Callithrix jacchus: one gene and its partner. The protein of the gene in region 2 purifies or fractionates together with the protein of the main gene of each other region. This does not show direct contact. Links are inferred from orthologs where the notes say so. Each region holds a gene or a part of one and is shown on either strand. Other genes may lie near its edges. The genes, in order: MSN and VCAM1.

What was found.
Region 1: the proteins of VCAM1 (region 2) and MSN purify together in Homo sapiens (affinity purification with western blotting; 3 studies listed by BioGRID, with this or other methods). This does not show direct contact. The link is inferred for Callithrix jacchus from reciprocal best matches to the Homo sapiens genes VCAM1 and MSN.

What each region holds. Positions count from the first base shown.
Region 1 is NC_133524.1:62,750,335-62,754,888, forward strand, and holds the start of MSN (moesin), read left to right. Parts: upstream 1-1,543; 5' UTR 1,544-1,730; coding exon 1,731-1,742; intron 1,743-2,221; exon of another isoform or gene 2,222-2,268; intron 2,269-2,499; exon of another isoform or gene 2,500-2,573; intron 2,574-4,554. UniProt on the Homo sapiens protein: Ezrin-radixin-moesin (ERM) family protein that connects the actin cytoskeleton to the plasma membrane and thereby regulates the structure and function of specific domains of the cell cortex.
Region 2 is NC_133508.1:145,132,202-145,136,014, reverse strand, and holds part of VCAM1 (vascular cell adhesion protein 1), read left to right. Parts: intron 1-3,339; coding exon 3,340-3,615; intron 3,616-3,813. UniProt on the Homo sapiens protein: Cell adhesion glycoprotein predominantly expressed on the surface of endothelial cells that plays an important role in immune surveillance and inflammation.

The DNA of each region.
Region 1 (4,554 bases), on a different chromosome or scaffold from region 2:
ATGTCCTCTCTGTTGTCTCAAACCAGCTTACCATCTGTGTTGCTTTACCTCGCAAAGAATACTCAGACCATGCCCTCACATGGTTGCCAGTGGAGAGGAGAAAAAAAGGACTATGTCGAGCCACTTTCAAACTAAAACTCAGACTTATTTTATTTTACTTTTTTTGGAGATGGGAGTCTTGCACTGCTGCCCAGGCTGGAGTGCAGTGGTCCAATCTTGGCTCACTGCAGTCTCTGCCTCCTGGAAGCGATTCTCCTGCCTCATCTTCCCTAGTAGCTGGGACTATAGGTGTGCGCCATCACCTCTGGCTAATTTTTTTTTCTTTTTTGTATTTTTAGTAGAGATGGGGTTTCACCACATTGAGCAGGCTGGTCTCGAACTGTTGACCTCAAGTGATCTGCAGGCCTTGGCCTCCCAAAGTGCTGGGATTACAGGTGAGAGCCACTGCGCTCAGCCTCACTTATTTTGCTTTTACATGTACAGATACAGGAGAGGGTCTTGATATGTTCCCCAGGCTGGTCTTGAATTCCTGGGCTCAAGTGATCCTCCTGCATGAGCCTCTCAAAGTGTTGAGATTACAGTCATGAGCCACTGCACTCAGCCTAAAACTCAAACTTGACCAGACGACTGCAGCAGTCTAGAATACTGCCATCCTGGGATTCTGTGATCCTGACAAAAAGGAGAAAGGGAGCTGGCAGACAAATGTCAAGGGTATGCATTAGGGAGGTCACATCTAAACTGAGGGAATTAATAGCCAGATTCATCAGAATATCAGAACGTGAATGTACTGGGGGAGGACCTAAAGGATCAGGGCACTGATTTGAGGAAGGTGGAGATTGGGATTTAGAGGAAGCAAAGAGTAGAGAACAGATATGGGGAGAAGGAGGTCAAGTCTGTTGAAATGAGAACTGAGCAAGGATGGGGAGTAAATACGATGGGGAGAGTCCTACATAAGAGAATAGATGAAGTGTTGGAAGAGGTGAGACAGTTTAGCCAAAAGAAGCGTAGTTTCCTGTGGACCTGAGATCTTCAGGCCTTTGAGGAGCTGTTAGGGACAGCAGGGATCTGTGTGGCCTCAGGGAGCAGAGCTGAGATCCAAGCATGGAAGCCATAGAGAAAAGGAGTTCCGACATGCAAGAACTTTTTAAGAGTCAGGGTTGTTTTAAGAAGGAAAAGATAGCTGTGATAGGTAGTGAGCTCCCCATCGGTGGAAAGTTGCAGTCAGGGGTAATCATCTGTCAGGGTGCGGCCCAGGGTCTGGGCCCTGAGTGGGGGTGGGGCTGGAAGGCCGGGACGTGGAAGGCTAGGGGGTGTGAGGGGGGTGGGAGAGGAGCGGGGTGAGTCTGGGTCGGGAGTGGTAGCTCTGCTAGGTCCGCCTGGGCCCAGTCGGGCCCCCCACGTGGCCGCTGTGGCCTGGCTGCGCCGGGCTGGGCCAGGCTGGGCTGGGCGGGGCAAGGCCAGCGGTCGGCGGGGAGGCGGGCGCGAGGGCGGGGAGCGGCGCGGAAGCCCGGCCACATAAAGGAGCGGGCGGTGCGACGGGGGCGGCTCTTTCCTGGGTGGGGTTTGTGAAGTCGTGGCCCGTTAGCAGGAAGCCGAATAGTCGCCCCAACGCTACTGAGGACCCAATCTGAGTCCCCGGCCACCCGAATCCAATCCGTGTGTACTGCGTGCTCAGCACTGCCCGACAGTCCTAGCTAAACTTCGCTAACTCCGCTGCCTTTGCCGCCACCATGCCCAAAACGGTGAGTGCGGGGGTGGGCGCTGTCGACCCCAAGGGCTCCCGCTGAGCCTCATAGCCCTTTGCTGATGGCTGAGGGCTTGGCCAGCCACCGGCCAGCCTGGGACACCGCGCCCTCCGCCATAGCCTAGGGTAGGGAGGGGACCGGAGTGGGAATCCTGGTCTGGTGCGTCCTCAGGGGTTGAGGGGGTGTCTAGGCTGGAAGTTTGGACAGGGCGAGGCCTGCCTCTTTCTCAGGTTCCAGTTCCCTGTGTCTGAGATGCAAGAGTGAGGATGGCTTCGTTGGGGCTTGGGGATTCCCCTTTCCCCTGACGGGCCATGGGCACAGAGGAGAGGATTCTGGTCCAGAAGACAACGCTTCCCCCAACTCAGGAATTGGCACCTTTCAGGGGCAAGGCTGCCAATGTTCAAGAGGGGCCTTGGGAACACAGAAGCAGGGAGGAAGGAGGGAGCCGCTGGGGCGGATCCCACACCCCCACTCACCTTTTCCACAGCCTCACCGGGTGGCTCCAGCTGTTTTCCACTAGGAGGTAAGGAGAGAGATGTGAGGAAATCGTCATCGAGGCTGCACCCGAGAGCACCAACACTTCATTAGGCACCAGACTGAGGAGAGGCCTACCCTATCTCCTGGGAGAGAGGACCGGTTTCTCCCTCCTCTCCACCCGCAAATCCCTGCCTCTCCCATTGCTTAATGCCTCTCTATCTCCTCCTATACCCGCAGGACTATTTTGTGTGGTGTGGGTTCTCTCGTCGGGCCACACCTTTCTAGAGTGGTGGTTGATTTGGGGATGCGTCTCCACCCCAGTGGCTGTTATGAGAGGAACAGAAGCCTTCTGGGAGTGGGGTTAGGGGGGCCGGATGCCCAGGAGGGAGGAGGGAGGAGGGGTGTGCCTGACTAATGAGCTCTGCTTGCTTTTGTGCAAGTCATGCCAAATGGCTGCTGGGGCCATTCCCTTGCTCAGAAAGGCCTGGTGACTACCCTGGCTTGAGTCCCTTAGGCCAAACAGCTTGTTGGGCTGGCCTAGGCAATGCAATGCTCCCAGACATGTCTCCCCAAGACTACTTGAGCCTTGTAGAGGTGAGATAGTGACTAGTAGCCTTGGAAAGGGCTGAAGGCCCCTGGGATGAGAGGAGGCGAGTTGGGGGCCTAGCCTTTTGGGTTTGTGATGAGCTTTGGGTGCCACATTACTATATACCAGCCTCACTGCCAAGTCATTCTTGCCTTTCCAGAACGTTGTCCTTCAGAAACACCAAGTTTTAAAAAAATGTGTGCTTTCACTGTCTATCTCCTTTAGATTACTTGTGGTTTTAGGACATGAGGCTTTTACACACTTTCTTTCCAGCTCCCCTGCCCCCAAGGAGAGAGTAATGGTTTTGGAGACAGGGGAAAATACCCCATTGTCTGTCAAAACAGGATTATAAAGATCCTGTCAGGAGCGGCTTTTTGGGTCTCTCTCTATGGTTGACTCCTGACTCCTCTTAAGGTGTGGGTTTGCCTGAACAGTTGGGTGGATCTCTGGGAATAGACATTGCTCCTGGCCTTTCTTCTGTAGTGGCATATCTCATCCTCAATTCTGCCATATCCCACCTTGAAACACAACTTCATGGGCCTGGAAGTTGCCTCAAACTTGCATAAATCATCTCATCTCATTCAAAGTGGCAAAGAAGACAAGACAGTGTGTTTATTGTTTTCCTGAGAATGGAGAGAGATTGGAGTATAAGCTGTAGTCAGGCCTGGAGTAATGAAGGTGTCTAAATACTGAAGGCATTTTTATGCAGATTAACTGAAACCTGAATTAAATCAGAAGGAGATGGCTGAATTTTGATAGACTGGAAGCATTAGAGAATTTTCTATGCTTCGACTCGAGGAATGGTCAACTTTTAGAAAAAACAACTATATGTCTGTTAAGGCCATAGAATCTTAACCTGAAAGCGACCTTGGAGACTATCTATTTAGTACAACTCTCTTTAAAAACAAATAACAACAACAACAACAAAACTAATGAGGATACCGAGGCCTACAGAAAAAGACCTACCTAAGGGCATATGGTGACTGAGCCAAGATTGGGGTACAGGCTTTCTGATGCTCTTCTGATTGACCCTCTATTCTGACCCAATGATTGAGTTCTTCACATTTGAGTTCTCTTTCTTGCTCCAAGCAAATTGCCCCCTGTTCTCAGAACTTTATGGTCCTCAGATAAAACGAAATGAGTAATTTGAGCAAAGTGGCCAAGGTTGGCATTTGTGTCATCTGGTAAGGTTCAGCAGTGTCACCAGGTGCCTCCTGTTACTTTTCTTATTCCTCATCCCGAAGTCGAGCTGTTCAGGGACGCATCCTAGTTCACTAAATACCACCCAGTAACTTTAATGAAAAAAGGTAAAATATTTCCCTTTCCCTGCTCCCTTTTCATTGATGTGCTTTAAGCTATTTCTAGCATATGACAGATAGAGAAGGGTAGTGGAAAATGAAACTCGTTCATTCATATGAAGCGTGTCTACAGCCCATCTAGGGTCGGTTTCATTTTTATAGTCAATTGTCCCGCCTAGTCAGCCCAACCTCCCCTACATCTGTTAAAACATGCTGGCTGGGTGCAGTGGCTCATGCCTGTAATCCAAACACTTTGGGAAGCTGAGGCTGGTCGATCATGAGGTCAGGAGTTTGAGATCAACCTGACCAATATAGTGAAACCCCATCTCTACTAAAAACACAAAAATTAGCCGGGCATGGTGGCACATGCCTGTAATCCCAGCTACTCAGGAGTCTGAGGCTGGAGAATTGCTTGAACCTGAGAGGCAGAGGTTGCAGTAAGCCAAGA
Region 2 (3,813 bases):
ATTTAGGTGTACAATGTAGAATGATTAAGTCAAGTCAACATATCCATTGCCTCACTTATTTTTTTGTGGTGATACATTTGAAATTCACTTTCTTAGCTATTTTTAAATATATAATACATTATCATTAATTATAGTCATCATGATATGTAGTAGATCCCAACAACTTACGCTCCTGTCCAACTGAACCTCTGTACCCTTCGGCCAACATCTCATTCCCTTCCTCTCCTCCCCCAAGCCTCTGGTAACCACCATTCTACTCTCTGCTTCTATGACTTTAGAAGTAGAGCCCACATATAGGTGAGATCACGAGGTACTGGTCTCTGTGCCTGGCTTGTTAGACTTAGCATGATGTCCTCTGGGTTCATCCCTGGTGTTGCAAATGACAGAATTTCCTCTTTTGTTTTTTAAGGCTAAACAGTATTTCACATATTTTATGGCTAATTGTCTTTAAATAGTCTCCCTGCTAACGTTCTGTCCCCCGTATAATCAATCTTATGCACCATTCCCGGAGTTTATTACCTTAAACAAAAAGGTGCTCATTTTCTATAATTTCAATCACATTTCTTAAAACAGTCACAGAGAACTCTTTATGGTCTGGTCAGAGACTCCCTCTGCAGCTTTGTTGATAACTGAGTGTGTCTGCTTGTGCTGTTCCTTCTGCCTGAAATGGCCTCTCTCCTTCCTTCATCTGGCAAAGTCTTAGCCATTCTCGAAGACAAAGCTCACGTCAGCCTCCCAGTTCCAGACTGTGTCAGACCAAATGACTTACTCTTTCCTTTGTGTACACTCAACGGTCCTTATAATCATGTACGCACTTCTGTTCAGTTCAACGCATATTAAGAGCCCTTATCCAAGAATCCAAGATTTGTACTTGGTACTGGGGGTACATACATAAAAAAGATATGACAACTTCCCTAAGGGAGCATACAAACTAGGAAGGACAGTCATATAAATAGATAATTCCAATATTCTTTAGCAAGAGACAAAATATTATGTCTTTTTAAATGTATCTTTCCACTAAACTGTAAAATCCTGCTGTGGGCACAATGGTTCATGCCTATAATCCCAGCACTCTGGGAGGCTTAGGTGGAAAGATCGCTTGAGGCCAGAAGTTTAAGACCAGCCTGGGCAACATAACGAAACCCCCTGTTTCTATTTAATTAAAAAAAATCTGTAAACTCCTTAAAGTCAGGAATTCTGTGTATGTGTGTGTGTGTGAATGTTTGGATTCTTAGCACATTACCTAATACATAATAAATGTTTAGCAAATGCTTGTTGAATTAATGAGTAGATTATAAACTTGGAAAGCATAGTCTTTTGTTTGTTTTGGGAGATGAGGTCTTGCTATGTCACCCAGGCTGGACTCAAGTGATCCTCCCGCCTTAGCTGGGCTCACTCCTGGGCTCAAGTGATCCTCCCGCCATAGCTGTCTGAGTAGCTAGGATTATAGCCACTATACCCAGCTCAAATTTTTAAAATGTGAAAACACGGTATTTAAACTTGAACAATTAAAATGAAAATCAAACTCACCATAAGTAGATTACCTCAGTTGGATGTTATCTACTGAGCATTCTCCAGTGACCATGAAAGACGTTACGCTAATAAAACCGCATAAAGCCAATCATTCATCCTGGAATAGTGCCACCCCATAATAAACTGTATCCTATTTCAATGTACGAAGGGTATGTATTTTGGATTTGGGGAGAGTTGTTTTGTGCTTTTCATCACACGGGATACTACTGAGCTAAAGTACTGGAGATACTTTTAAAAAGGCTTTCAGCCACCTAAAGGGGTTACTCCTCCAGTGATTCCAAGTTCACATGACAATACACGTGGCCACTGTAAAGAATAATCTGATAAATGTTCACAGGCAGGAAGTGGATCTGTTTTTAAAGTTCCTCATTCTCACACTAGCATATAAGAAATGTGGAAGCTCTGGTTGTTTTTGTGAATGAGCTCTCTTTAAAATCTAATAGGATGTCAGTTTATTGAGGCGATTTGAGGAGAATCTACTTTACAAAATGCTAAGATGTCACAATTAGACAAACCTATTGAGAAAAATAACTTATGGCACAGATGAGAGACACGTAAGATGTAATATGTTTGGATTATTCATATTTTGAGATTCTTTCTTTTATCTCAAGCCTGTAATTTACAAGGAAGATTTCAGTGATTTTTATGTGGGGAGAGGCGGGTCTCATCTGTTGCTTTCAGAGTTGCCCAAACACTCCCAGTTTCTTCAGGGGAGTAGAGCCAGAATGTGGTGTTCCCTTTCTCCCTAAATAGCAGTCGTCCAAAAGAAGCCCCTGTACCCAGCAGGGATAGCACTGATGGCCAAAGAGCATTCCTAGATATTTGGGTCTTAGGAGTTTGCCCTCACATCTTAGCTTTCAGATGCTGAATTAATTGTAAAGTGTTTTCATATTGCATCAGGCAAATTTCGGAGGTGACTTATGTATCTCTTTAATGCTTAGATTTTGACTTTGATTTCGGGGTGAATCTATGTGACTTTCAATGGTATAACAGTATTATTGAAACAGAAGCTCTAAATACTTGCCCACTGTGGGTATTATATCTAATTAGAATACATTCTGTAGCTTTTTCCAGCACCTCTTTTAGATCGTTTTATCGCCATATGAGGATGACTTGATTTAGTTGTAGCAACTGAAAAACTGAGATCTTGAATCGGACCCACCTGGCATCAAGTCCTAATTTTGCTACTTACTTGCAAACTGGGCAAAGTTATTCAGTGCCTAATTCTGAGCCTAAATTTCCTCAAGAAGAAAAAGGAGGGGAAAAAGGAGGAAGAGAAAGAGTAGAAGCACAAAGAGAAAGAGAAGACAAAGAAGAAAATAGTACCAGTGTATGAAATTGTTGTGGGGATTAAATGAGATATATATACACACACACACATAGTATATATACACACTATATAGTATATATATGCTATATATGTATATGATGTATATATATAGTAATTTACATAGTGCTTGACACACAAGAACCACTTAAATTATTTGAACAATTGTTCACTCTTACAGTGATTTGATAAACTACATTTGAACAGAGACTTGATTATTGCTATGAAGAGATACCAACCTCTCTTGACAAAATTGTATCTATTCATTTTGTTAAATGAATGAATCAACAAGCTATTATAGTTTTATTCTTAAAGGATGTGATCTCTTTTGTTATGGTCCGAAGGTAAAAAAGAGCAATTTCTTCTTGGCATAGATGTTAGCTGAAAGGGGATCAGGAAAAATAAAGATCATATGTCAGAATGTGATAAAAGAAGAAAAGAGTACGTTCTTTTCATCTTGTTTTCCACCTCTGTTCCAGAGAAACCATTTACTGTTGAGATCTCCCCTGGACCCCGGATTGCTGCTCGGATTGGAGACTCGGTCGTGTTGACATGTGGTGTCATGGGCTGTGAGTCACCATCTTTCTCCTGGAGAACCCAGATAGATAGTCCTCTGAGTGGGAAGGTGAGGAGTGAGGGGACCAATTCCACACTGACCCTGAGCCCTGTGAGTTTTGAGAACGAGCACTCTTACCTGTGCACAGTGACTTGTGGACGTAAGAAAGTGGAAAAGGGAATCCAGGTGGAGCTCTACTGTAAGTGCTTTTCAGAATCGTTTACTTTTCATTTTCTTTTTAAGTTTCATTGGAAGAAAAAGAATGCAAAATCTGTGATGTGTAATGAGATCCATATGTTTAGAAAAGGAATTTAGCATTGTGAATTGCTCCCAAATCTGAATCAGAATGGTTTGATGCAACAGAATTCACCTAAATCTTAAGTATATATCACATATG